Macaca fascicularis: one gene and its partners. The protein of the gene in region 6 purifies or fractionates together with the protein of the main gene of each other region. This does not show direct contact. Links are inferred from orthologs where the notes say so. Each region holds a gene or a part of one and is shown on either strand. Other genes may lie near its edges.

The links.
Region 1: the proteins of TGFBR1 (region 6) and SMURF2 purify together in Homo sapiens (affinity purification with western blotting; 8 studies listed by BioGRID). This does not show direct contact. The link is inferred for Macaca fascicularis from reciprocal best matches to the Homo sapiens genes TGFBR1 and SMURF2.
Region 2: the proteins of TGFBR1 (region 6) and ENG purify together in Homo sapiens (affinity purification with western blotting; 5 studies listed by BioGRID and IntAct, with this or other methods). This does not show direct contact. The link is inferred for Macaca fascicularis from reciprocal best matches to the Homo sapiens genes TGFBR1 and ENG.
Region 3: the proteins of TGFBR1 (region 6) and SMURF1 purify together in Homo sapiens (affinity purification with western blotting; 3 studies listed by BioGRID). This does not show direct contact. The link is inferred for Macaca fascicularis from reciprocal best matches to the Homo sapiens genes TGFBR1 and SMURF1.
Region 4: the proteins of TGFBR1 (region 6) and SMAD2 purify together in Homo sapiens (affinity purification with western blotting; 8 studies listed by BioGRID and IntAct, with this or other methods). This does not show direct contact. The link is inferred for Macaca fascicularis from reciprocal best matches to the Homo sapiens genes TGFBR1 and SMAD2.
Region 5: the proteins of TGFBR1 (region 6) and USP15 purify together in Homo sapiens (affinity purification with western blotting; 4 studies listed by BioGRID). This does not show direct contact. The link is inferred for Macaca fascicularis from reciprocal best matches to the Homo sapiens genes TGFBR1 and USP15.
Region 7: the proteins of TGFBR1 (region 6) and SMAD7 purify together in Homo sapiens (affinity purification with western blotting; 19 studies listed by BioGRID). This does not show direct contact. The link is inferred for Macaca fascicularis from reciprocal best matches to the Homo sapiens genes TGFBR1 and SMAD7.

The regions. Positions count from the first base shown.
Region 1 is NC_088390.1:71,251,091-71,255,136, forward strand, and holds the start of SMURF2 (E3 ubiquitin-protein ligase SMURF2), read right to left. Parts: upstream 2,801-4,046; 5' UTR 2,338-2,800; coding exon 2,286-2,337; intron 1-2,285. UniProt on the Homo sapiens protein: E3 ubiquitin-protein ligase which accepts ubiquitin from an E2 ubiquitin-conjugating enzyme in the form of a thioester and then directly transfers the ubiquitin to targeted substrates.
Region 2 is NC_088389.1:16,137,664-16,141,804, reverse strand, and holds the start of ENG (endoglin), read right to left. Parts: upstream 2,801-4,141; 5' UTR 2,772-2,800; coding exon 2,375-2,771; intron 1-2,374. UniProt on the Homo sapiens protein: Vascular endothelium glycoprotein that plays an important role in the regulation of angiogenesis. Required for normal structure and integrity of adult vasculature. Regulates the migration of vascular endothelial cells.
Region 3 is NC_088377.1:47,609,424-47,612,923, forward strand, and holds part of SMURF1 (E3 ubiquitin-protein ligase SMURF1), read right to left. Parts: intron 3,104-3,500; coding exon 2,966-3,103; intron 1,632-2,965; coding exon 1,511-1,631; intron 198-1,510; coding exon 1-197. UniProt on the Homo sapiens protein: E3 ubiquitin-protein ligase that acts as a negative regulator of BMP signaling pathway. Mediates ubiquitination and degradation of SMAD1 and SMAD5, 2 receptor-regulated SMADs specific for the BMP pathway.
Region 4 is NC_088392.1:41,863,437-41,867,577, reverse strand, and holds the start of SMAD2 (mothers against decapentaplegic homolog 2), read right to left. Parts: upstream 2,801-4,141; 5' UTR 2,706-2,800; intron 2,345-2,705; 5' UTR 2,259-2,344; intron 1-2,258. UniProt on the Homo sapiens protein: Receptor-regulated SMAD (R-SMAD) that is an intracellular signal transducer and transcriptional modulator activated by TGF-beta (transforming growth factor) and activin type 1 receptor kinases.
Region 5 is NC_088385.1:69,325,284-69,328,783, reverse strand, and holds part of USP15 (ubiquitin carboxyl-terminal hydrolase 15), read right to left. Parts: coding exon 3,492-3,500; intron 2,623-3,491; coding exon 2,507-2,622; intron 2,330-2,506; coding exon 2,057-2,329; intron 1,670-2,056; coding exon 1,599-1,669; intron 1,216-1,598; coding exon 1,100-1,215; intron 446-1,099; coding exon 296-445; intron 1-295. UniProt on the Homo sapiens protein: Hydrolase that removes conjugated ubiquitin from target proteins and regulates various pathways such as the TGF-beta receptor signaling, NF-kappa-B and RNF41/NRDP1-PRKN pathways.
Region 6 is NC_088389.1:58,992,357-58,995,856, reverse strand, and holds part of TGFBR1 (TGF-beta receptor type-1), read left to right. Parts: intron 1-691; coding exon 692-934; intron 935-3,500. UniProt on the Homo sapiens protein: Transmembrane serine/threonine kinase forming with the TGF-beta type II serine/threonine kinase receptor, TGFBR2, the non-promiscuous receptor for the TGF-beta cytokines TGFB1, TGFB2 and TGFB3.
Region 7 is NC_088392.1:40,812,622-40,816,836, reverse strand, and holds the start of SMAD7 (mothers against decapentaplegic homolog 7), read right to left. Parts: upstream 2,801-4,215; 5' UTR 2,311-2,800; coding exon 1,698-2,310; intron 1,266-1,697; exon of another isoform or gene 1,153-1,265; intron 364-1,152; coding exon 310-363; intron 1-309. UniProt on the Homo sapiens protein: Antagonist of signaling by TGF-beta (transforming growth factor) type 1 receptor superfamily members; has been shown to inhibit TGF-beta (Transforming growth factor) and activin signaling by associating with their receptors thus preventing SMAD2 access.

The DNA of each region.
Region 1 (4,046 bases), on a different chromosome or scaffold from region 6:
AAATATTTTATTTGGCTTCTCAAGATGGACTGAGAAGTTGGGCACCAGCTCCAGACCAATTCCTGGACGCACATCAAACACAGCCCCGTCATCTATCCAGTCAGTCAAAACAATCTTTTCCATCTAACCCTTTAATGTTTATGTCCTAAAAAGCTGCTAATTGAATCCAGCTCTTGAGATCTATTTGCTAAAATCTATACCATCTAATTTGTAAATGATGAACAAAAATGGAAAAAAAAAATGTTAACTTTCCTGGCAAAACAGAAGAGACTCCACTGTAACCAAAGAAGGAAGGACAATGTTTTTAATATTTGTCAAATTTTGAGAGAAAACGATTCAGAGACAAATAGTTGCAAGAAACTCAGAGTACCTCAAACTGTTTTTACTATTAAGAGGACACAGGGTATTTAAAACTCCTCAGAAAAACCTGAAACAAAATCACTATAAATGTAGTTCAATATTCCCTCTTCCCCTAAAATATAAGCATAATCTTTCCTCTTAACAAACTTTAATTATAAATTTTTATAACGTATCATAGGTAGTACGGAAACCACAGATAAACACTTTAAGATCTACTGAGTCATACTAAAAACCTCAACTAACTTTATTTGAAGAAAATCAAAATCCCTATTTTTTCCCTCATCTATATAGCCCAGAGGAAAGTAAATGGAAACAGCCAATTTCTGATGCTTTCTGCACACCTGGGATCACATGTTCTTTCCACGATCACTGACTCCAGATAGCAACAGCAACAGATAAACTCGAAAGCAACAAAGATCCCCTATAAAGGTTTCCATTGTCTCCTCCCAATATAAGGACACTGAATGGGGGAGAGCGGGGGAGAAGGGGGAATACAAGTATCCTGCAATCCAGGTTTTTCATTAAGAACCACTCAGTTAATGATTCCTTGCAATTTTCCCTAGGGAAAGGAAAACTGTCATGAAGGTAATATATTATTTAAATTGCAGCCAACATACATTCAAGCTAAATTCTCAAATACCAAATTCACTGCAAGGTTTCACCCAGCAAGTTCAGCCAGTGGACTGAGATGTGACACATAAGCATTCAACTACAAAATTAGTCCAAATAAATCTCAAAGTCTAGTGTGGGCAAACATAATTACAGTTGATTCGTACACGTGCACGCACACACAAATCCTCTACGGAAAATTATCTTTCTCACCACTCACCCGAATATAAACGTGGACAATTTATCAGGGGTAAATGGTGAAGGTAGGATAACGACGTGATTTCAATTCCTTTTCAAACCAAATACAAGTGCTCCTAAAACGGGGGTGGCATGTCCATGTAAGAATACCAAAAATGGCACTGTAAGTAAAACGTACCTGTAATATTAAAGATTTCATGCACCTGGAATCATAAACACTTTGTAAGTGTAGTCTTCTATCTGACAACCCCTCCGGACATACTTTTCCATTTAGAAAAAGGAAGGGGGAGGGTGGGGAGAGTAACAGAAAGTTTGCTCTAAAGTTTGTATGAGGACATACTTAGAAATGTACCCCCTCCCTCCCCCCAAAAAAGTGTGTTTTTAAAGCAGGTCGGGAGTTAGAAGTGAGACACGAGTTCTGCGGCCTACAAGGAACAACCCCAAACATGCCACCCTACAATCAGACACTTCCAAAACACAGTGTACAATGAGCCCGAGCCGTCGGATCAGACAGGCACACCGGAAAAGTCAACCTGTCTCCTCTCCTCAGAGAGACGTGAGTTCAAGGTGTGTGGCCCCGGCAGCGGTGGCCGGCGGCGGGGAGTAAAGGTTTTTCATGCGGGCATAAGTGGGTGTGCAAGGTAACAACCCGGGAACACACACGCACACCCTCCCGTTAAGCGCTCCATCTTTAAGGAGTGTTTACTGCGCGCAGTCAGCAACCGGATTCAATAATCCTCGCCACGGGAGCTCTTCATCCCCTTCACGATCCCACCTGGGCGGTAGCCCAGGGGCTGCTCCCCGAGACCCGGGAGGCAGCGTCGGGCTCCTTGACCAAGACTTTCCGACCTGAAATCCGCCTGCGATGCGAACCGGTGTATCCTCCCCTCCACAAAAGACCACCCCCACCCCCCGCCCCGAGTCATCCTCGGCTTTTTAAAGAATGCCCAAGCCGTAGCAAGTGGTTTTCCAATTACTCTCCCTGAACTAGGCCTTCCCACTCCTCCGACCCCCAACTCACCATTGATCGCGACACTGGCCCTTCCTAAGGCCACAGGCACCCCCCGCCAGCTCGCCCACCCCGCGGCTGCCCAGCCCGGCCCGCCGCCCCCCCTCACCTGTCAGGCGCAGCTTGACGGGCCCGTTCCTCCGGCCTCCGGGGTTAGACATGTCCCCGGCGGCGGGGGCGGCGGGCGGGACGGGGACGGGGGCGACGGCGAGGCGCGGCGGAGTCACCACAGCGGCCGGGGCTGGGGCCCGAGCAGCCGGCGCCGCGGCCGCCACGGCCGGAGGGTCCCGGATGTGCCGAGCGTCGTCGCCATGAGCCGCGGAGGGAGCGGGACGCCGAGCTCCCCCCTCCTCCCACTTCTCCTTCCTCGGCCCGGGCCGCACAACAAAGCGGCAGCCGCGGCCGCCCGCGCCGCCTCCGCCCGCGCCCCCGCCGCCTCCTCGCGGGCGCAGCGGCCTTTCCTTCCTCTCGTCTCGGCGAGGCCCAGTAGCCGACGGGGCTGGTCGGCTGAGGCGGGCGGTGCTCGGCGACGCCGGAGCAGGACTCTGGGCTCGGCCGCTTCCTCCTCCACCCGCCCTCTTGTCTGAGGGACCCGGGACCTCGGGCCGCCGCCGCCACTCGTCTGCTCCAGGGGGCGGGGAGGAGACGGGAGGCGGGGCCGGCGGGCGGGGCGGGGCCAGCGGGGCGGGGCGGGGCCAGGGCGGGGTCGTCGGGCGCGCGCAGGGTGCCCCGGGCGGGCACCGGCTGTCAGAAAGGGTGTAAGTTGCCGCGGAGGGTCCCACGAGGAACGCGGGGAGGGAGCAGGCAGGGAGCAAAGTGGCGGCGGGCGCGGCAGCTCTGTGACACCTGGAGGGATTTAGTGTCCGGTCCACTTAAGGGAGAGCTTTTGTCCCAACAGCGCCGACTGCATTTATTAGACGCCCACTGCGTGCAGGGCGCTCCTAGAGACTGGGGCGAGGAAGGTTAGAACCGAGTCCGCTGCCTCCCGGGAACTTAGCGTCTTTCGGACGAGGGAAGAGACCGCATTCCCACGCCGATGGTTCCAGCAAAACCCCAGGAGTGCTCTGCTCCTAGTCTTGTAGTTGACACCTCCATCCGGAACTCACCTGGTGGAGGAGATAGGGTTACCTGCCGACTCCCGCTCTTTTCAGGTGCAGCCAAGGATAGGGAGATGATACGTCTTAAAGGATTAACAAGATAAACCTTGGAGAGTAATGTGTGAAGAGTTGTTAATACACTACTGTATTTCGTTATCTCAGGAGGAGAAATTTTTTTTTAAAAATGTGCGCCTTATCCTTTGACCTTGTAACTGTACTGCTAGAAATATTTTTTCTTTTTTTGGACAGGGTCTCTCTCTGTCATCCAGGCTGGACTACAGTGGTGCGATCACGGCTCCCCGCAGTCTCAACTTCCCGGGTTCAGGTGATCCTCCCACCTGAGCCTCTGGACTAGCTGGGACCAAAAGTGTGCACCGCTACGCCCCACTAATTTTTGTATTTTTAGTAGAGACATGTTTAGTAGAGACATTTAGGTTTTCCCATGTTGCCCAGGCTGGTCACGAACTCCTGACGTCAAGCGATCCGCCCGCCTCGGCCTCCCAAAGTGCTGGGATTACAGACCTGAGCCACCTCACTGGCCCTATTCTTGACAAATAATCGTACAGAAGATGTTCTTTGTTATATTCCATTAATACCAAAAGGGGAATGAGGGAACAGCATAATGGTCCAGGAACCGCATGGTTTTTTATGCAGCCATATAACTATTTTTATGAAGATCATATACTATGGAAGAATGTATATGTAATGCAAAGTTTAAAAGCAGAATAGAAGTTGTATGCATATACATGTGAAAATATCTAGCACAATGTAAA
Region 2 (4,141 bases), about 43 Mb from region 6:
CATAGAGAAAACCCCAGGCCACAGAACAGTGAGAGTGGGTTAAATAGAAAATTCTATTCCAGAATTTTCTCTATTGCATATTGTACATTATTACTATTTTAATGTTGCCGAAATGGAATTATTGTTGTTTGGGCACCTAACAGTGTGTCCCTGACATCCATCCATGGCAGTGTTCATATAGCTCTGTCTTCTTGGTGCCTATTGCATGATACTCCATGGTAATTTATTAAGAGTCTCTGCTCATGGACATTTAGATCATTTCCAGTTACTGGATTTTTGTTACAGGTACCCATGGACCACACATCTTTACAGAGTTGGACGAGTAACTCTAGAAGGCTGACTTCTGAAGGTTGATTTGTGAGGGTAACAAGTTACACGCAAGGTACAGTTTTAGGAGATTCTTCCAAGTGGTGGCCCCAAATTCTAGACCCATTTCTAGGATGTCGGGGTCACTCCTACCCCCAGCCCCGGCATGGAGATCTGGGTTCCAGGCCCTGGTCCCAGGCTCCCCTCTGCCTTCCATGGGCCTCAGCTTCCCAGACCATAAATGAGTTGGGTTGATGGTCTGTTGTATCTTTGAGCCTGTGACCCCTGGTGCACTGGGACCAGCTCCTACCTGTTCATAGAAGCAGACTGAGACATTTCCAGGAGTTTCTCCAACTGGCTGTTACATAGCTATTACTATATATTTTTAAAAGAGCACGAATGTCCAAACGCATTTCTTCCTAATCGTTTTACACCCCTGACTGTCATCTCTGCTCTTGATGTGATCTGCGCCTGCAGAGACTCTGGAGAACCAACTGCCAGGTGCACTGGGCACTGATTCCCATCCACAAGCTTGGTGAGTTGGTGGCTTGAAGTCAGCCAGGTGGGAGTACTTAAACGCTGTGGAAATCCACAAACGCTACAGACCGAGCCCCCCACCCTGTTGTTAATTATTTACCAGCACACCACTGCCTTTGATCCTTAAAAACCAGGCCCTAAATGTCTGCATGCACCTTTCTGTAATGACCAAGAGGAAGAGAGTGTTACTGCAGCGAGCAATGCGTGGGAGGGAGATCTTGGAGCTTAGGTAGGGGCTTCGTCTTAGCCGTGTGAACTTGGCAGGTTAGAGCCTCCATTTTCTCTTCTGTAAAATGGGGACGATGACGGCAGCCATCTTGCAGGGTCGTTGTGAGCCGCATTAAGAAGGTTTGCCCTATCACACCTTGCTAGGAGCAAACATTTAGGGAGCCTCAGGCTAGGAGTCAAATCCCTGCTAAGTCACTTAATATGTCTGAGACTCAGTTTCCTATCAGTCAGGTGGTGGGCAGAGCTTTAGAGACCTAGAATGAGGGACTCTAAAATGCCGTCAGGTGGGGACGGGAGGAGACGGTGGCTGCCCCACCGCTGTTTTCCTTCCCCTTCCTCCCCACACTCGCAGCCCCCTTCTGCCCCTCTTCCCCCAGATCCATCAGAAAGCCCCTGGATGCGCAGGTGGGTCAAAGGATTGTCCACAGGACCGGCCAGTGGCTTGAGGTGGCCGAGGGATAGGGAGTGGGACGTGGGGCTGGGGGTCCCTGGCTCCTCACGGCCCCTCCTCTTGTCAGTTTCAGAAAGCAGCACAGGCCATGACCCCTTGGAAGAGCCCCCCAGGCTGAGGAGCCCCCACAGAATCCCTAACCTGGCCGGCACCCACTCCCGCACCCTTCCTGGAGATCAGGGAGGTGGGAGGGAGGCAGAGCAGGGCCCTGCAGCCTTGGCCTGTTCGGTTTTAGGAGCTACTCAAAGGCCCTGGGGAAGGTGAGCTGGAGGAACTTAAAAATAAAACAACACAGAAGGGGCCAGTCTGTCAGAGCCCTCTCTGCAATGATCCCTCACCACCAACCTTCTCGGCAGCTGAGGGAAGTCTGTTGTCATTCCCGCTTTGCTCAGAGGCCCGAAGGCAGTCCCCCAAGATCACACCACAAGGAAGTGCCTATGTGACATCTGAACCCAGAGCCAGTGCTCAGAACCCAGGCTATGGGCCCTCCTTCCCATCCATTCCTCACGGGGAAACTCAAGGCCCAGAGAGGGCAGGAAACTCTCCTGTGGCTGCACAGCATTCTAGGACCTAGGCTTCCCGGGGAGTAATGGAACACAGCTGGGTGAGCAGACGCCAGAGACCAGGGTTGAAGTGAAAGAGTCAGCCCAGTTTGCCCGAGGCTTTCCAACACTGAAAGTCCTGTATAATCGTTTAGTTCCAGCAAACTGGGAGGGTCGGTGACCCTCCAAAGCCCCATGGATGACTCCGCTGGGCGTGAGCTCAGGATACAGGAAGGAGGCCGGGAGTACTTGGGGCCTGGTCTGTGCACCAGAGGCCGAGTCTCCCCACCCCGGGTCCCTGGACACCTACTTGTGGGGCTGAGGCTGCAGCCGGCCAGCAGCAGGGCAACAGCCAGAGGGAGCGCGCCGCGGTCCATGCCGTCCACGCGGGGTCCTGTGCGCTGGGCCTTATCCGGTGTCCAGAGGCAGGGCTGCGGGTGGGCGCCGGGGCCGGCGTGGGCTTGCGCGGGGACCCGAGGGGAGCAGGCGGCCGGAGCGACGGCGTCCCTGCTCCAGCCTTCTGGGGTGGCGGCCGAGGGGTCAGGAGAAGTGGACACAGGGACGCGGGGCTGGGCTGGGGTTGCTGTCCGAAGGATGGGCGGGGAGGGGTGCTGGGCTCCAGAGGATGGCAGTGACGGCAGCAGTCCTGGCCCCAGGGCGCAGATGAAGGCTGTGGTCTGACCGGCAGCAGGGAGCTCCCGGCTCATCCAGCCCGGCCCAGGGAGGCAGGAAATGCGCTTCCTTAGAGAAGGGGCTGGGCCAGGCCGCCTGCCAACCGGGTAGAGGAAGTGCCACGGGCTTTGTCACTGGGTGGGGGGCCCTGGGATGGGGGGAGGCAGTGGGGTGGGAGGGCCCAGGCTCTAGGCTTGTCTCCCCAAGCACCCCACCCTCCCATCCCACCCTCTCCAAGGCCGGCGGGTGGGGACGCATCAGGCAGCCCCACAGATGAAAACAATCACCCTAACAGCCCACCGAGCGGGCCTTTCACGGGGCTGGGCTTGGCTAAAGTAGTTCCTGTGGAATTTGTGACCCCCTGAGCTCAATGATCCCATTTTGCAGATGAGGAAACAGAGATCCGATGTGTTGAGATCACTGGTTCAAGAAGAGGGTAGCGCTGGGATCCTGCCCACCTCCACCACCTCATGTCTTGTCAGGCACCAAACCCGGCCTACTAAGTGCAATTGACATGGGGCTGCCTAGCAGGCGGGAAAACTGTGGCACAGCAAGGTGGCTACGGCTGGGGTCTCTGGGCTCAGAGTAGCTGCCCAGGGCCACACACTTCATATCTGACCCCTTCCTGGGTGGAAAATCCTTCATGGACAAAACACAGCTCCAGGCCAGGTGCAATGGCTCAAGCCTATAATCCCAGCACTTTGAGAGGCCAAGGCAGGTGGATCACTTGAGGTCAGGGGTTCAAGACCAGCCTGACCAACATGGTGAAAACCTGTCTCTACTAAAAATACAAAAATTAGCCGGGCATGGTGACATGCGCCTGTAGTCCCAGCTACTTGGGAGGCTGAGGCTAGAGAATCACTTGAATCCAGGAGGCAGAGGTTGCAGTGAGCCGAGATCAGGCCACTGCACTCCTGCCTGGATGATGGAGTGAGACTCGGTCTCAAAAAAAGAAAAAAAAAGAAAACTCCAAATGATGGGGACTTTAATGGCACTTCTGAAGTCACATGGCCCTGGGTTCAAATCCTACTCTGCTTGCTTGAGCCATGAGACCTTGGACAAAGCCCCTCAATTCTCAGCGCCCCCTGCTTGCAAAGTGGGGCACGATGCCTTCCTGGCTAAGTCATTATGAGATTTCTGAGGGTGAGGACGCTACAGCACTGAGCCCTGGGACATACGGGAGATGCTTCCCCATCAGTGCTCCCTGAGCTGGGTGACAGTCCCCAAACTGTCCCATGTTCATTCTGCAAACAGTAAGCGCACCTACTATGTGCCCACCATGGTGCTACTCAGAGGTAGCACCCAGGGCCAGGCCCATGGAAGCTCAGAGAAGGAAGCCTGGGCCACCTGGAGGGGCTGGCATTTAAGCCTGCCATTTGAAAGACGGGGTGAGTTGGGGGTGGGG
Region 3 (3,500 bases), on a different chromosome or scaffold from region 6:
AAAGCCTTGAAGCCTTGGAGCGGGACCCGCGTGGATCCAGTCACAAACTGCAGGAGCCTGGCCCTCCTTTCTTCATCGAACGTCTCCACCGCTTGCCAGAACCACCGCACGATGTTGCTGTCGGCCACACAGTGCTTCAGCCGCGTGTTCGACTTCCAGTCGTTCAAGTCTATTTTATCCAGGCCGCCTATGATCAGCTGAGGAGGTGCAGAAAGGTGAGTTACTTCCAAAATGTATAAACCCACGTCAGGATGCGTCTCCTAGGTACCCGACACACACACGAGTGAAAAGTCGGTTCCCAAGCAAAGCAGCAGCTGTGTCTAAATAAACTAGGCAGACGCTGAGATGGGAAGAAAGCTACACACAGGAGGCCTGTGGCACATGCTTCCGTCCGCCGCCTCCAGACGGGTCTCCAACCCCAAGGACCACAGTGCACAGCTGCTGATGGGACGTTGTCTTATAACCAAAGCGGGGTTTTTGCTCTGCATGGGTGAGCAGTATCAAAGCACCAACGGGTGACACTGAACAGAGCTACCACCATGAACAAGGGCACGTCCCAGGGTCTCTCCAGGACACTCAAGGACATGTGGAGTTTCGAGTCTGAAGAGAGGAGAATTCCGCAAGAGTTACGTGGGGCTGGGGCTGATGGGGCGTGTTTGTGCAACTGGCTTAAAAAGTTCACCCCCTGCTAGGTGCAGTGGCTCATGCCTGTAGTCCCAGCACTTTGTGGGGGCTGAAGTTGGGCGGATTGCTTGAGCCCAGGAGTTCAAGGCCAGCCTGGACAACATGGCAAAACCCTGTCTCTACAACAAATACAAAAAGTAGCCAGGCATGGTGACGGGCACCTGTAGCCTCAGCTACTTGGGAGGCTGACGTGGAAGGATTGCTTCAGCCTGGGAGGTCGAGGCTGCAGTGAGCCACGATTGCACCACCGCACTCCAGCCTGGGCAACAGAGCAAGGCTGTCTCAAAAGAAAAAAAACACAAACGTTCACCCCAGAACTACTGCTCCATCCAAGCTCTTGGCTCCCAAGCTCTCCTCACTGGCAGCAGAAAAACTTGGAGAACAATCTACAAGGCTTGAGCTGTTTGGCACCAGAGATGGAGAAGGGCTGAATGAATCACCGTGTTCAAGCACATGCAGTATGACTAGAGAATACAATAGCCCCTTGTTCTTAGTCTAGGAACAGCCAGAATAAAAAGCAGTAAGTTACTGCTGTGGGAGCACCTGGTTCTCCCCCGCTAGATACCCTGAAAACAAGGGAAGCCACAACCACCTTGACCAGTTTTCCGGGAACTATTCAGATTTCCTACCGCCAGGCAGACATCTCGCCGGTTACCAACCGGCATAAACACCTTCTACTCCCCACTCTTGCTCTAGTCTGGGAACCCCAACAGCTCCTAGGCTTACTAGGAAACGGCCGCTCGCAGCAAGGATTTAAAACAGGCAGACGCCAGCCACAGGGGAGCCCCCGAACGCCCTGGGTCAACTCCGCACGGCAGGCACCTACCTCCAGTTCCTTCTGGTCAAAAGGCTTCAGCAGGTGTTGAGGGATGAGCTCATTGAACCCCTTCTGCAGAGCTAAGAACTGGGCTTCAATTCCTCTCATAAACCTCCAGTTTACATACAGCCTGGAAGAAAAACTCGCAAGTTGGATGCAACACCAAGTGGATTTTCCACCATGGGCAGGCTTTTTTTTCCTTTTTTTTTTTTTTTGGAGACAGGGTCTCACTCTGTCACCCAGGCTGGAGTGCAGTGGCGCAATCTCGGCTCACTGGAAACTCTGCCTCCTGGGTTCAAGCGATTCTCCTGCCTCACCCTCCCCAGTAGCTGGGATTACAGGCACCCGCCACCACGCCTGGCAAATTTTTGTATTTTTAGTAGAGACGGGGTTTCACCATGTTGGCCAGGCTGGTCTTGAGCTCCTGACCTCAGGTGATCTGCCCGCCTCGGTCTCCCAAAGTGCTGGGATGACAGGCGTGAGCCTCCGCGCCTGACCTGTGAGCCGGTTCTGATACCACAGTCTGACAAACATGGGAACACACTGGGATCCCCCCCAGATCTCTCCACCAAGACAGACATACCACCAGCTAGTAGTACCAAACCTTGGCATCACGTTAAAAATGACTCAGTGCATGCCCTGATTCATTCCGATTCGCCCCTGAAAACAGGAGGATTGAACCTGATCTGTCACATCAATTGCTGCAATTTGAAAGCATGTTCTGGCCAGGCACAGTGGCTCACACCTGGAATCCCAGCCCCTTGGGAGGCCGAGGCAAGAGGATCGCTTGAGGCCAGGGGTTCAAGACCAGCCTGGCAACATAGCAAGACCCTATAAAAATGTAAACAATTTTAAATGTGTAAAAGTACATTTGAAAGTACAGCACAGGACAGCGTGGCACACAGACGTGCCCACATAGTTCTCAGCTGCAAGTGCCGAGGCCTGAACATGGATTTGCCTCAAGTTAGGGATGGAAAAAAACTGAGAGGGTGGCTTCCTCGGACGGAGCACCGAGACCCTCCAAAGCCACTGCTCTCTCCTTTGCCTCTGACCTCTGCATCCATAATTAGGTGGTCACTGAAAAGTCCTTCCCCACATGGGTTCTGTCCCTCAGGCCAGGCCTGGCCCCATTAGGGCCCCTCCAAGCAGATCCCCGATGCTGCTGCTGAGCTGTTGGTTTCTGAAAGTCGCCTCTGTTCATGTGATCTGATCACAAGTGCCAGCCATCACACAGCGAAGGAGCTACAGCAACTAAATGCAGGCTCGGCCTCGCCCCAGGCACCTGGCTGTCCCCCACAGGCGACTAAACGCAGGCTCAGCCTCACCGCAGGCACCCGGCCGTCCCCCACAGGCGACTAAACGCAGGCTCAGCCTCGCCGCAGGCACCCGGCCGTCCCCCACAGGCAACTAAACGCAGGCTCAGCCTCGCCCCAGGCACCCGGCCGTCCCCCCAGGTGGCATTACCGGACGTATTCTTTCTTGTTCTCCTCTGTGACCGGCACATTTCTGCCATTGGGTTTCAGTTCATGCTGAAGGATCCGTCCGAAGGCGTTGTGTTCCACGCAGAAGGTGTGGTCCAGTACAGGCGTGATGTCGTTCTCTCTGTTGAAATAAGACAGGAGGATGTAGGTTAGAGCTCTGCCACCACGTGGGGTCATTGGGTAGACAGACAACATTGACGACGGCCAGACCCGGGGCTGCAAGAGAGGACAGCTTTGGGCAGACACAGAACCTGTGTGGGGGCGGCACAGCAACAGGTGCTGGAGGACCTGGACATCACAGCTCTGGTTCAGATGTCCCCACTCCTGGCTTCCACAATCATAGAAGGCGGGGAGCAGGTTGCTCTACCATCCTGTGGTTTCAGGAAACCCACAACCCAGCTGCTTTGTACGCTGAGTGTGGGAGTCAAAAGGCAGGAATGTGAAGAGGTATCAGGGTCAAAGGGAAATTGACCTGGAGATGAAGCCACGCCAAGAAAATGCCATTCCCGGCCAGGTGC
Region 4 (4,141 bases), on a different chromosome or scaffold from region 6:
CTAAAAGACATGTCCCCCTCCACCCTCTAAAAATGACTCTTTGTCCCAAGAATATGAATAAATCTCCATCTGCCAGGCTGCACTAAATACAGCTTTTATATGCATTACAAAAACACCTGTATTTAAAGCTGCTACAAAAGGAGGTTTTTGGAGCCCTAAAGCACAAAACCAACAGAATCAAAACCAAAAAAGAATAAGGAAAGTCTTTTAAAACTGACAGTATTTGCAAAATGTAAAAATTCAATAGGTCTTTGCCCAACAGTTTACACAGCTAAACTGAGCTTTTCCATTCACATATATTCCCCCAAAGGTGAAGTAACCAGATTATAGCAACATGATTCTAATATTTACAATGTGAAAATGAAAAGGTGACAACCACCTCTGGCCATCTTGAAGTAGAATAGAAACAACCTTTGTTTCTATCAAAGAGAAGTTTTGTTGAAATACACAAAACCATCCCCAATATTCCTACACCAGAGTTAAAACACATACCAAGCCTGGTAAGTCACAAACAACAAGAAATTACCCTGCACAGTTTCTTAAAAGACTATTATTTCACGAAGCGTACAGACTGTGTAGAGACATGACCACTTATGACTAAGTAAACGTAGGTTACAACCTTGAAAAATCAAACTTTTGTTGAACACCTACAATGCTTGTGGCCGCACTTAAAAAGGTGTGGCTAAGTATAAAAACCAAGCTCTAAGAGCATTTTCTTACTAAAACCCCCAAAATCAACGTTTCCAATCACGTTACATTAAACCTGGCCAGTGAACTGCCTTGAACTCAATTAAATCCAATAGAATTTAGTATTTATAGTAAAAGTGGGTACACTCTTTACAAATGCCAAAAGATGTGAACTATTTATATTTACTACCAAAGCTTAGTTTACGGCAAAGGGTAAGGAACTTTAAAAATAAAAGTATTACTTTTGAATTTAATATAAACGTCTGCTAAATGACCTTCTGGCAGAGGAAATTCTTTAAATATCTTGTATGGGTTTTCCGAAGGCAAACTTTTTAAAAACCCTCAAACTATGGTATATTTATGAAGCTCATTTTAAATTATTTCTTCCATCTCTGCTTCACTAATTCATGTATTAAAACTGTTGAAACTCCATTTAACAATTTAACTTCTCTGTAAGATAGAAACTTTTTTAACGGGGGTTAAAGTAGAATAGCAAATTTTCAGCATAAGAGCAAATTTATTATTAGGCTAAAGGAAAACATCCTATCAGCGATTCATTCATACGAAACTATCAGGTTCAATTCATATGAAGTCAGAAGAGAGAAAAAGAATTTTGGAAATTCACATCGCAAAGATATTTCTAAAAAGATGTAACTATTCCAAGTTATTTACTTATTAACAATTATTTTACACATGACATTTTAAAAGTTTCACACACCCAAATTTAAGATAGTCCAAATTGTAACAAACAAGACATGACTTTGATGGAAAATGCTGCTTGCAAACTCGTTTTCCCTGGAGATTTCTTTTTAAAAGATATGGTTGACAATACACTGGTGGTATTTTGCTTTTAAAGTGTTATGAGGAAGGAATAACAAAACCAACCCAGGTATTTTCTGTTTAGGATCAAAAGGAAATCGTAAGGATAAATAAAAGACAAAAAAGGGCCTGACCCAAGGACAGTATCCCCCTCCAAGAGAACAAAGTAAGTTGCAATTTTGAAAACCAAGTTTGAAATAAAAGAAATCACTTCGAGGGCTTTTCCAAAAGCGGGTGATAAAAACTAATAGGCTCCACCCGCAGAACTTTCACAAGTGAGTGAAGGATGATCACAGTTATCAGCTGTGTGCGTGTTTGTGAGTACACACAAGCCATGGAAAACCCGAGACTACTATGGTTAACAAAGGTTACCGGACCAAAAAAAAAAAAAGTGGAGGCAAAGTATTACGCGCCCCTAACAAGGCTTCCCCACAACTCCTGAAACAAGAGCTCTGGCCCTTCGGCTTTAAAAATCAGAACCACAAACTATGGAGTGTTAGAGCCGCGAGGGGAAGGGACGCAGGCAGCCCCCACCCCCGCCAGGCTGGGCGGCAGCGCCGGGCCGCCGAGCACCGTACCTCCCCGGCTCTCTGGCCCCGAACCCGCACGCCCGGGCCGGCGCACCCACAGCCCCCGAACTCACCACACCCCAGCCCCCACCCGCCGCGGCCATGTGACACAGCCCATCGCCCGGGCCGCGGACGCACGCAAACACACCCCTAGCCGGAGGCCCGCGGGCGCTCAGGCTTTACCTGCACGGTGGCGCCAGGTCCCGCCCCGTCAGATCCAGGGGGTCCGGGACCTTTTGTTCCTTCCTCTTCCGATGGGATGGAGGGGGCTGGGAGGGGAACAGGGGAATGGGCGATTGGAGGCGGAACTGAAAACACTCCCGGCCGCCGTCTTCCCGCCCCGCCCCCAGGCCCGGGCCCGGCCGCTTGCCCCGGCGCGCGGGAGGGTAGAGGGTAGAGGGAGGGTAGAGGGAGGGGAGGGAGGGGAGGGGAGGGGAGGGGACGGAGCCTGGCCGCCGCCCGCGGGGAAGGAGGGGGTGAGGACGCGCGCGCCCGCGCTGCCCCTCCTCCCCTCAGGCGCGCGTCCGCAGCCCTACCGGCCGCCCGCACGGCCGCGCCCTCCACCGCCAACCCACCTCCGCTTCCGCCCTCCGCCCTCGGCCGCCGGCCGCCGCGGCGCCACGCACCCACCTCCCGGCGGCTGGCGGGCTGCTGGCTGGCGAGCTGCTCCTCCGCCGCCGCGGCCGCGCGGGTAGACCCGCCTGCCACCCTGGGCCGCGGGCCCCGCCGATTCGCCAGCGCAGCCCCGGGGCTGGCACCCTGCCGCCCGCTGATTGGCGCCTCCAGCCGCCCGTTAGGGCGCGAGGCACGCCGGCCGAAAGCCGCGCGGGGCGGGCACGGAAGACGGAGGGAGCGGAGGAGGAAAGGAACGAGGCCGAGCGCCGCGGGCAGGGCCGGGGGGCGAGCAGGGCGCGGGGAGTCGCCGGCCACCGCCTCCCCACCTCCCTTTGCCTACGGCCCGCCCCGCCTCCCGGCCGGACCGGCGGCGCCCGCAGCCAATCAGCACGCGGGGAGCTCGGGGTGTGAGCCGCGCATCGGGGGCCTCGAATCGGAAGGGAGACGTCGCTCGCTGATTGGTCCCGCCTCCCCAGTCTAGCGTGAGGCGAGGCGAGGCGGGGCGCGGCCGGGCGGGGCTGGACGCCCGCGGTTTCGCTTGAGTTGGACTCCTGCGCGCTCCCACCGGAGTTCGGGGGCGGCGGGGGAAAGGCCTGCGCCCTGCCGCGCGGGAAGACGATTCCCGGCGACCGCCCGATCCCTCGCCAGCGTCGTGGGGTAGGGCCTGTGGGGGCCTGCCGCTTCGTCCACAGTCCGTCGTGAGGCCGGCAGCGGACACGTGCTCATCCCACTGGGAGGCCCCGGGCAGCCCGGAGGACGCGCCTAGGAGAGAAAGGGGGTTTGGGAGAAGCCCGAGGACCCGTCCCGCGACTGGGCGCGCCCTATGCAAATGAATGGGCGGGGCCCTCGTGCTGCTGAACGAGGGTAGGTTCGCGATGTAAATAAGCCCAGAGGTGGAGTCTTTGGAGAGCACTTAGGGCCCGGGTAGGGGATGCCAGATCTAAGTGTTTAACCTAAATCTTGGTTCCGTCTTCAGTAAAAATGATATCAATAATCCACGTCCCGAAGGGTCTGTGAAGTCTAAAAGAAAGGCATGTCATAATGTCCTCTAATGGCTGGGATATCTTCCCTTCCTCTTTTCTCCCGTTGCGGCGTTTAGGCCCCAGCTTGGGCATCTGCCCTACAGGAGGCAGCAAGGCCCTAAACTTACCACAGACCAGGGCATAACCGCACCCAGGGAAAACCTTGTTGCTTTTACCCTTAGGAGCACCCAGGCCTCTGCTGACAAAATATTGAGCCCAACTAATCACATCAGGTGTTTACTATGCACCCACTGTGACACAGGCAGGGAGTACCGTAGAACTAAAGTTGAAAAGAAACTTAGGTCTCACACAGGTGCCAGAGACAAGACTAGAACACGGTTTTTTTGGGGGTGCCTGTCCAGTAATTCATTCTCATGTATGGCTTACTTTATAGATATAATTGGGGACTTCAGATAAGCGGGAAAGAAG
Region 5 (3,500 bases), on a different chromosome or scaffold from region 6:
TCTTAGATTTATAAATGAGACCAATTAACCCATAGGTAATATAACACAAAAGGAGTTTTATTGTTTTTAGTTTTTAAAAGTATATTTCCTCTTTGGTCTTTGGAAAATCTCTAAGAAAAAATAAAAATTTTGAAACACTGATCCTTATAAATTGTTAGAACTACTCAAAAACAAACTTGAAAGCTGAAATTGGATCCAATGGCACCTGATATTTACTAAAGGATAATAACAAAAAGCATCAAGTAAATTTGAAAGAAGAGTTGCTCAATACTTATAAAATACAATTAAAGCTTACTTGATAGGGAAATCAACTAAGGTATCCAACTTGTCTCTCATGTATCGACTGTAAGAAAATCGCTTGAGATGTACTACAAGTACTGGAGGCAAGGACCATAAATCCAATTTCTTTGTGGCTTGCTGATGTTCTTTACAATTCGGACAATACCTAAGAATAAAGAGAAGTATTTAAAGCTTGATAGAGGTACAAACAACCCCCATTAATGAAAATAACAAAAAATGTTCGGAAAGTTCTACATTTATTCAGTGGGCAATTATCGTATGCCTAATATGTACCAGGTTGAAAGCAACTCTTGTTATTTTTATTTTCAACACATTTTCCAAAAAGGTTAAACCATTATAAATTAATATACAAACCAATATTTAAAGACATAATGAGGGCTAGATTATTTCTCTTTTAGTATGCAAAAAAGACATCTGTGCTGGAAGATAGGTATTAGAAAATCTCAAAACTGGGCTCTAATGGAATAACATCACAAAATATATCACTACACTTTTCCTAAAAAGCTTCTCTCAAAATGATTACGTAGCTAAAATTTCTTGGAAAACAAGTAACTAAAATGAATTATTAATAGTATAATGGCTATTAGGAAAAACACAGTAATAAAATTAAGGCAACACTGTAACAGTATTTTTTAAGAACTTCCTATCCCTCTTAAAAGGCTACCACTTATATAAAGAATCCTTTACTATTTAAAACATCAAAGAGAATTTAGTAATTACTTTTTCAAGTTAATGTGGCACGTATCTCAGAATAAACCCTTAAAGAAAACATAAACAATTATTTAATTTTGTCTCTTACCAGGGATCTTCAGCACCTAGCTTTTCTTTTGTTGTAAAAAGTTCAATGCAATCTTTTAATTTCACAAAGGGTTTTTTAGGAGGTTTATACTCCACACTTTCATGTTTTTCAAAGTCCTAAAGAGAAGTATTTCTTGAGTTAAGAGAACAAATGAAACAAAACTCATTTTAGTGGTACCATCTTACTATGAATAATAATGAAAACTCCTAAACTTTCTCAAAAGAATCATAAAGCTTATTTCAGTTGAGATTTATATCATACTTCTAAATAATTCCTGTACACTCCTATATGGATGAGCAAAACATGTTCAAAATGAACTCTGAACCTTTGGGGAAAAAAAGGTATTTTTGCAAAGACTTTCTTTTCTAGTTCATGACCACTTTTTTACTGGCAAAATGAACATTTGGTGGAAGCAAAGAATGTAACACAACAGTATGATTATCTCTGGTAATCACATAAAGTAAATCAAGGAAAGGTAAATAAGTGAGTGATGACTTACCTCAGCAGCATTTTCATCAAAATATCGTTTTTTCAAATCAGGATCCCAATCCAAAGCAAGAAAAGATCTTTCTAAGGTGGAAAACATATTTTTTCTTTAAAATTTAATATGTCTTAGTATTAAAGTATATTTTAATGTTAGGATATACACTAGAATAAATAAATAGCAATCTTTTCTACTTGTACAGGTGATTAGGGCAAATAGCAGTTTCCAAGCCATTGAAATAATTTAAAAGTTTAAAAAAAGATAGAAAACTTAAGCATGAATTCAATCTCCATTTATGAAACACAGACACACATTTTGGTCTACTTAGATATTAAGTCCTTTCATATAAAATTTGAGATAGAAAAGTAAATGGTGTATTTCTTGACAGGGCTGAATTTCATGGTTTTCACCTAAAAAACAAAAAAACATGCTCTGCTTGTTTAATGTTCAAGCCATTTTTCACAAATACTTACCATCTAGCCTAAGCTGCCTATCATCAAATCTTATATGTCTGGTATCATCTTTGATGTAGTTGATATCAGTATTGCCTAAGTTGTTGAACTGGAATGTAAACAATCGTTTTTTGTGTCCCGTGAGTTGACCTTTGCAAGTGTCCTCAGTACATAATCCATTTTCAGAATCATTATCTCCTCCAACTGAATCTTCAGACTGACTGTTTTCATTCTCTGAGGGAAGTTCTTGATCCTGGCTGGATTCATCATCTGGCTCATCTGTTTCCATTTCACCTAATTTTAGATATTAGAGAACTTTAAATAAACTCAATGTTATATTTTTAAATTATTAATATTATTAGTCGTAGGTTTGCAGGTATTTTTTAGCTCTTTAATTCCCATTTTCTTAACTTTCTCTCTGAAGCAATTATTTAAGTGAAACATTTTTATAATTTAACAGAAAAGTCTTACTTGGTGAGCCTTCTTCATGTATGCCATTTGGGCCATTCCCATTAATATTTTGGTCCTTACAGCAGTGTAGGGATCCTTCAGTTTCTTCAGTTTCAGTAGATATTTTGACATATCGGCTTAAGTAAAATCAGAAATCAAACAAGTTCAGTACTACAAAGATAAAAACTTTAAAAATGTTTTCATTCTATCAGTAAAACAAAACTTTTTAATGTAACAGTGGTCACTTAGTAGATTCAAGGTTAAAATCAAACTTACAGTACCATACATATAGCTGACTAATAATTTGTTTTGCTCCTCTTTATAAAAATAATTAGTACGTTACCTTTTAGGTTAAATGTTAAATATTTGTTGCAAATAATTTCTCAACTTATCCTCATTTAGATGGTATATATTGTTGCTAAAAACACTTATTTTTGTATAATGTGATCTTTACATATGGGTTATGAAACCATAATAATTAGATATGCAAGAAAGAATACTAAATATATCAGCTTTCAAAGATAAAAGGGATCAAATGACATTCTTGATAACTTTATAATTCAAATAAGGGGATTTAGGAAGGCAAAAAATAGGCTGCCTTACAATACTATTAATCATGAATTGGTAATGTATATAAAGAAATGAAGCATTTGACATTTGTCATTTCACAGTGCAAACATATAGCATTTGACATTTGTTATGATTTCACAGAACAAACATGTAACACATAATTATTATAACATAAATTCCTATTTCCTTCCAACTGTAAACTTTTGGCCTAAAATTGCTACAGACTTCATGCTTCCTGGGTTTGAAATTACCTCCATAATGTGTTTTACGTGAATAAGAAAGTGGATTAGGACTATAATCTGACTATAAACAAAACTGAGACAATACAGACTTGTATAATTATATTCTGATAGTACCTTGTGTGTTTATTTTTATTAGCTATTTTATATTTTATTCCCATATTTATTTTGTCAATGTAGAATTGTTTGGCACTTACCACATTCTC
Region 6 (3,500 bases):
AAAATTAACCAGGTATGGTGGCACATGCCTGTAATCCCAGCTACCTGAGAGGCTCAGGCAGGAGAACTGCTTGAACCCGGGAGGCGGAGGTTGCAGTGAGCCAACATCACACCACTATATTCCAACCTGGGCAACAAGAGTGAAACTCTGTCTCAAAAAAAAAAAAAAAAAAAAAAAATTGGTGGAGATATAAATACTAAAATGTGAGTTGTTTGGGAGTGATGAAGATGTATGTGTGTGTTTGTTTGTTTGTTTTGATATTTTTGTTTGTTTTTCCTGCTATGAGCATGTACTGGCCTTGGAACAAGAAGACAAGTCAAACACACTTTTAAAAATATATATGATTTTTAAGGAGACGTTAATGGGTATTGTTACAGGTTATTGGTATTACTGACCTGATGTGATAAGTGGGGAAGGTACTATGATATTGGTAGCAGCTGGCCTTGTAATGATGGCTGAAGAGTACAGAAGGAGTAAGTGGGTGCTGACAGAGCTGGTGTGCATGAAAGGAGGCCTAGTAGGAGAAGACTGAATGATTCACTTGTTCTGGGTTTGAGCCCTATAAACTGCTGTAATGAGGCTCTTTGGCTATGTGGTGGCAGTGGCCAGCTGCAGGAATTGTGTAGGATTAGGAAAATGGGGGTTGCCACCTACAGTGTTTTTGTTGTTGTTGATGTTTATTTCACTCAAGGCCCTTTTTCAGTAAAGTCATCACCTGGCCTTGGTCCCGTGGAACTGGCAGCTGTCATTGCTGGACCAGTGTGCTTTGTCTGCATCTCACTCATGTTGATGGTGTATATCTGCCACAACCGCACTGTCATTCACCATCGAGTGCCAAATGAAGAGGACCCTTCATTAGATCGTCCTTTTATTTCAGAGGGTACTACGTTGAAAGACTTAATTTATGATATGACAACATCAGGTTCTGGCTCAGGTAATGTAATTGTTTCTCCTTTTTCCTAAGACGTCTTTTTAAAATTAAGTGATACTTATTTTATTAGTTTGCTAATAAGCCAACTTGTTAGAATGTGAGATAATATAAATAATATTCCAGGTTTGAAACTAATAAAAATCTTTAAGCTTGATGTATATATGACTGTGGCTGGTTTAAAATAGATTGGAACTTACTTTAACTGATAAAGCAAGTCAGTCAGCTCCATGGTGGTATAAATTTCAAAGCGTTCTCACTTGTATGATCTAATTTGCTTTTCATCACTGTGAGGTAGAAAGGATAAGAACAATTATTCTCATATGGATGAAGCCGAAGTTCAAAGATGTTCAAATGATCTGCAACTAACCCGTTCTATTCAGGATTGTTTAGCAGCCTGATGTTTATATTTGAAAACAGGCATGATAAAAATTTATTCAGAATTGTGAAGGTTATTTGCTTTTTAAACATTATATGAAATTGTCTTTTGTATAGGCCTGGTTTTTTAAAATTAAACTAATGAACTCTTACGTCATTTTCTCACTTCAGAAAAATGTCTAATCACCTTCTTATTTAATGTAGTTTTGGCCCCTAATGAGATTTGCTTTTCCCAGTTCTATTTGTTGATATTTGTGGCATCAGAAGTAGATGAGCTAATTGTCAGAGTCATCCCAAGGTGGATTTTGGCATAGCAGTGCTTCATATTTAAACTGAAGGGGCGTTATCTTCTACTTTTTTTTGTATATGGTTTGGAAAAGTATTAAGAGAGGAACACTCCTATCGCCTGTGTTTTTAGAATTTGACACTTGGCTAAGGATAAATAGATCTAGGTTCCAAGGCAAGTTTTGTTGCTGATTGGCTGTATAACCTTGGTTAAAACATGTTTCCTCTTTGGGCTTCTGTTTCCTCATCAAAAATATGGAACCCATACTGCTGATAAAAACACTTCAAGTGGTTTGTTAAGACTTTTAAATGAGATATACTATCCTTTGAAAAGTATGAGTCGTCTTTAAATAAGGGCTAAATTCATGAATAAAGTGAAAATTTGGAAAGCATATATAGTGAAAATTTCACTAATTTTGGTGAAACCCCATCTCTACTAAGAATACAAAAAAATTAGCCGGGCATAGTGGCATGCGCCTGTAGTCCCAGCTACTCGGGAGGCTGAGGCAGGAGACTCGCCTGAACCTGGGAGGTGGAGGTTGCAATTAGCTGAGATCGTGCCATTGCACTCCAGCCTGGGCAATAGAGTGAGACTCCATCTCAAAAAAAAAAAATTCACTAATTTTATAACTGAGTGATATTAAAGGAATATTAAAGCAGAAATTGAGCATAAAATCACATCTAATGTTGCAGAAAGCTCATATAATGACAAATGTCTATTTATTTTAAGGAAATGAATATATATTGTTATGTATGCATATCTATTCATTTAAGAATGAAGAAACTGATTTTATTACCTGAATTATTCTTCTGTAGAATTTGGCCGTATGTATTCATAAGAGAACTCTCTCTTTGACTACTAGGACACATACAGGCTTGCACTGGAGCTCAGATCAGAAGGCAAGCTTAGGGATTCCTGAAACAGTTGTGTAAGGAAGACAATGAGAGTTTGGACTTAGATGGAGCCATCTTAGTACTGAAGGTGTGATAGTCTTTGGGCAGGAGTGGTGGACGGAGGTTATTTTAGAGCTTTCCTGGGACTTCCCATTTATTCTCAGTTCAGATCTTCAAAAAGATTTTGTTCATTCTAGAAGTAATCCTGCTCAAGACTGTGATAATCAAGGACCAGAGTCACAGAAAATCAGGATGGCTTCAGATCATTTGGAATTAATCCCTCAGACCTGTTGTCTTGTTTCTAAACTTACACTCCGGAAAGACAGCAGCTCATGCCACTTGCCACAGTGGAATAAGCCCACCTAATTGATTAAAGGAATTGGTGGGTGGGTGATAGTTGATTACTGAATAAGAATATCTTCATTAACCTTTTAAGAGATAAACATGAAAAAGAATGGAATAATTCTGTTTCCATTATATATATATATATATATTTCTAGATCCATGAGGGACCATAGCTCTCTGTTCTCTGAAAGCTTCTCTCCCTCTTTTTATGACTTACCCTGCAAAAACTTGTCTGCATTGCTTGCTAGCTCTGTAGCTTTGGGCAGTTAACCAATGTCTCATGCTTGAGTTATTTCATCTTTAAAATGAAAGTGATGGAGTCTGCTTTGTGCACATCATTGGGTTGTTGTGAGTTCAAGCAAGACAAAATGTTGGCATGAAAGCGCTTGGTAAATTGTGAAGTTATGTCCAAATGACAAGTGTTGCTCTTATTGAAAACATACTTGGAAGAAAAATCTAACATACATTATCAGTTGACTACATTGTACAAAACTTAGTTTAAGGCCTCCTTTACCTGTCATAGTTCATTGTGTACTGAATTCTCTACAAACCTATCTAGGCAGAAGCCATCTTCTGGTGAATAATAGCAGAAAATGCCATCTGTTTCCCTTCTATTCATTATAAATCCTTAATGCCACCTTAGGCATGAGAGTAGTGCCTGTGAGTAAGT
Region 7 (4,215 bases), on a different chromosome or scaffold from region 6:
CAAGACACTTCTTTCTGGACTAAAGCTTCCACGTATCAAAGCTGAGCCCACCGGCTACAGAGCGCAAATACAGGAAAAAGGAACAAAATGTAAAGCATATCAAGGGAACATCTTTGCAAAAACACAAAACAAAAACCCAGTCACAACAGAAAAATTCACCAAACTTCCAACAGAGGAAACCTAGAACCAACGTGAAGTGAAGCAAGTCCAGCACCTCTCCAAGCCTTTGCCTACACACAAAAAGCCAGGTTCTAGAGGCTCTATTTCTAACTTAAGATAGGAAGGATATTTTAAAAATCATCTACTCACCAGTTGGTTTGAGAAAATCCATCGGGTATCTGGAGTAAGGAGGGGGGGGAGACTCTGAAATTAAAAAAGCAAGAGAAAATAAAGGCCCAGCCATGAGAAGAGAGATAGAAACTTATGATAACAGAAGCATTCTTTTAGCCCAACTGTTTGTCTTAGCTGTGGGGGTTGGAGGCAGGGCCGCGAGGCGGTGATTGCCTTGATATTTAGCTGTCAGATAAACAAAAGAGGCCGCCTGGCGCCAGCCTCGGCGCTCCGCTCCTCCACGTCTGCGGCCGCCGCCGCCGCGCTCGGCTGGCCCGGCTGGAAACCACCGGCTCAGCCGGAGCCGCGCACTTCACAGTTCACAGGCGGGGGGCGACCATACCCCCTCCCCGTTCTCGGACTCCAGACCTAGCTCCCAGCAACCTCGGTTCCCCGCCCTGGCCCGCCCCCCAGGGGTGCAATTCACCTCCGCCCCCGCCGGTCCGCTGGGCACCCGCGCGAGGGACACGGGGCTCCCCATTCCCAGCGCACTCGGGAGATGCAGCCCAAGCGTGCTGGTGAACTTGGGGGATCTGCGGTCGCCCGGGGTGAACCCTCACATCACACTCCGTGTACAGAGACATACAGAAAAGGAAGGAATGGAGAAAGCTGACAGGATAAAAGGGAAGAAGTTTCAGGGTCTCAGCCGAGAAGCCCTGGCCCCAGCGCAGTAAGGGGCGACAACGTCACCGAGGCGCAGGGCCCCACTAATCTATAGACTTATCTGTGCGGAAGGAAGGAAAAAGTAGGGGACACCCAACTTCTCCTGGCTGTTTGTTCCTCTGCACCCTGGGGCTGGCAGAGTTGAAATGAGACAGATACCCAGTTCGGCCTTCCATCCAACTCTCTTTGCCCCAAAACTCCAAAGCTGCGCGGCCACGACAGTGTCTGGGCCACTTGTGTTCGACGTGATTCTCCTTATTTACTGAAGGAGTAAATACGGAGACCTTCCAGCCTTTTTATAGCATGCTTCTCCCAGCCTTCCTTGGCGGGCCTGGACCAAATCCAACTCGGTCACACACCTCAACGCCTTTCCGGGTGCGGGGAGGCGTGACCCCCCCATCTCCCTCTGCACCCCCTTGTTGATCCGGAAATGAAGGCGTCTAATTTTTAACCGCAAACTGTGTGCAGGAGCAGTGCCCATAGACCCCTTCGGGGCAACACAGGAGAAATCCTGGAAGGGAAACCCCAGGGAATGCCCTTTGAGTTTCCCCGTGTCCCTTCTCTACTTTCGGCCCCCAGTCTCCTCCCAGGAGGGGATGCACACTCCCCCTGGAGGGGTGGCTGCACAAACGCACTGCCCTAAGGGCTTTTCTTCCAGCACTGGCGCGCCGGAAAATGCTGGGGGTAAGGGGACAACTTCTCACCTAGTTCGCAGAGTCGGCTAAGGTGATGGGGGTTGCAGCACACCAGCTCGGGGTTGATCTTCCCGTAAGATTCACAGCAACACAGCCTCTTGACTTCCGAGGAATGCCTGAGATCCGGCCACCTGAACACTTTGCACAGCAGGAGGGGGAGCGAGTAGGACGAGGGCGGCTGCGCAGGCTGCGCGCTGGCGGGCGCCCCCGGGCCCAGCCTGCAGTCCAGGCGGCCGGGCAGCAGGAGGCACGCGGTGCGCGTCCCGCCGCGGGACTCCACGGCCTGGAGCAGCAGCTCCAGCTGCCGCTCCTTCAGTTTCTTGAGCACCGAGTGCGTGAGCGCCTTCAGATCCGCTTCGGCGCCCCCGGCCGCGCCGGCGCCCGCGGCTGGCGGGTGGGGATGGTGGTGACCTTTGGCACCTCGCACCGCCTTGCCCAGGCAGCATCCAGCCCTGCCCGGGCCGCCGCCACCGGCCCCATGCGCTCCGCTGTCCGTCGCCCCTTCTCCCCGCAGCTCGCCGCCTCCTCCACCTCCCCCCGCGCCCTCCTCCTCGTCCTCGCCGCCGGGCGCACGGCTCCTCCAGAGACGCCGGACGAGCGCAGATCGTTTGGTCCTGAACATGCGGGGCGAGGAGGCGAGGAGAAAAGTCGTTTGGCGGCTAAGGAGCGAACATGACCTCCGCACACCATGAAGAAGTCGGGCGCCGAGTTGGGGCAGCAGGCGCAGGCGACAGCAGCAGCAGCAGGGGCCCGGGCAGGAGCGGCGGCGGCCCGTGGGGCGCTCCGTGGCATGCGCCAGTCTCCCGGAGGCCGGGGCGCGCGCGGGGGCCCGGGGGCGCCCGCCGGGGATCGGGGGCCTGCGCTCCGGCTGCCCCACCCCGCGCGGCCCGCGCCCTGCGCGGCTCTCCGGCCCCGGCGCGCCCCGGAGGAACCCGGCCGCCGCTTCCCTGGGGACGGCCGAGCCTGCCCCCGTCGGCGCCTCCCCAAAAAGAGGCCCCCCCGCAGTGGCTCCCGAATGTCGGGCTCGCCAGCCTCGGCTTCCTACATGGAAGGTCCGCGGAGGCAAAAAAGCGAAAGGCGTTCGGCTGGGCTGCTGGAAGAAGGAAAAAGCCTCTTTCCCCCTTGCTAAGCAACTTAATTTGGGGGTGGGGAGAAGCAGGCAATTAAAAAAAAAAAAAGCAAGCACGCAATTTATTTTTTTTCTCTATATCCTTAGTAACCGGATCTCCTCGAATTCCGTGCACACGAAGACTCAGGGGAGGGGGCCGAGTGGACTTCACCCCGCATGAGATGTCTGGCGAAATAAGAAGGCTCTCGCAAAACCTAACAACCAAATATGCAAAGCCCCAAATGAAAAACACCACCTCCTCGAACCTCTGAGGTCTGGGGGCGTCCGGCTGGAGCTGGGGTTTAAAAAAAGAAAATGTTTACAAAGTATAACAAGATGTTTGAGGGGTGGAAAAATGTATCCACGAGTTACATCCCCCCCTTTTTTCCTTGCAAAGCCCCGCTGGTCTTCCTCTCCTTCTGCCAAAAAAAAAAAAATCGTGTATTTTTTTAATCCACAGAAAGCTTTGGCTAGACCGCTTCAATCCTGCGCATCTGGGTGGTTTAGGGGAGTCTCTGGTCTTTCCTCCTGCGCTCCTGGGGGCCCAGGTCCTCGGCGGGGACTTCCTCGAGGCTGGCGGGGGCGCAGGGGCAGAAGATGCTGCGGCGGCGGCTGAGCCCGGCGGGGCTGACAGCGCGGGGGAGGGCGGCGCGGCGGCGGCGGCGGCGGAGGGCCCCAGGCGGGTCGCGCGTTCTCGCCCCCCCTGGGCACAAGCTGCTTGCTAGTGCGGGGGCCGCCGGTGTCCCTTCCCCTGGCCGCGGCTGCCCGCCGAGGGTCCCCGCATGGGCTGCTCGCCTGGCCCCAGCAGCGGCGGCAGGAGGCCCCGGTGTCCTCTCGGCGCCTCCTCCTCCGAGACTCTCCTCGTCGCGCCCGGGAGCCTCCTTGTCCCCGGTCCGCCCTCTCCTGGCGCTCTGGTCCTTCTGCCGCCGCCAGGGGCTCGCCGCGCCGCACTCTGGGGCTCAGGGGCCGGGCGTTCGGCGGCTCGGCGGCGGCGGACTGGCTCTGTCTCGGGCAGCTCTCTCCCGCGCGGCGAGCGGACCGAGCACGGCGCCCGGCTGGCTCGGCTGGCGCGGCTCGGGGACAAGATCTTCAGTGCGCCGAGCAGCAAGCGAGTGTGCCCAGACCTCGCCGCCTCCCGCAAGGCCTCCCGCCCCCGCCCCCGCCCCCTTCCCTCCCCCTTCCTCCCCCTTCCCTCCCCCGCCCCCAGCCGCCGCCGCCGCCGCCTCCTCCCCGCCCCCCCGCACCCCCCCTCCGGCCCTCTGCTCGGCTGGTTCCACTGCGCAGTGGCGCGCCCGGCTCCGGCCTCGTCACGTGGCCGTCTAGACACCCTGTCGCTTTAAAAAAAAAAAAAAAAAGCGATTGTGTTTCGCAAACAACAGATCGGGTTTCTAAAAGCTATTTCTCCCCCCAACCCCCCGC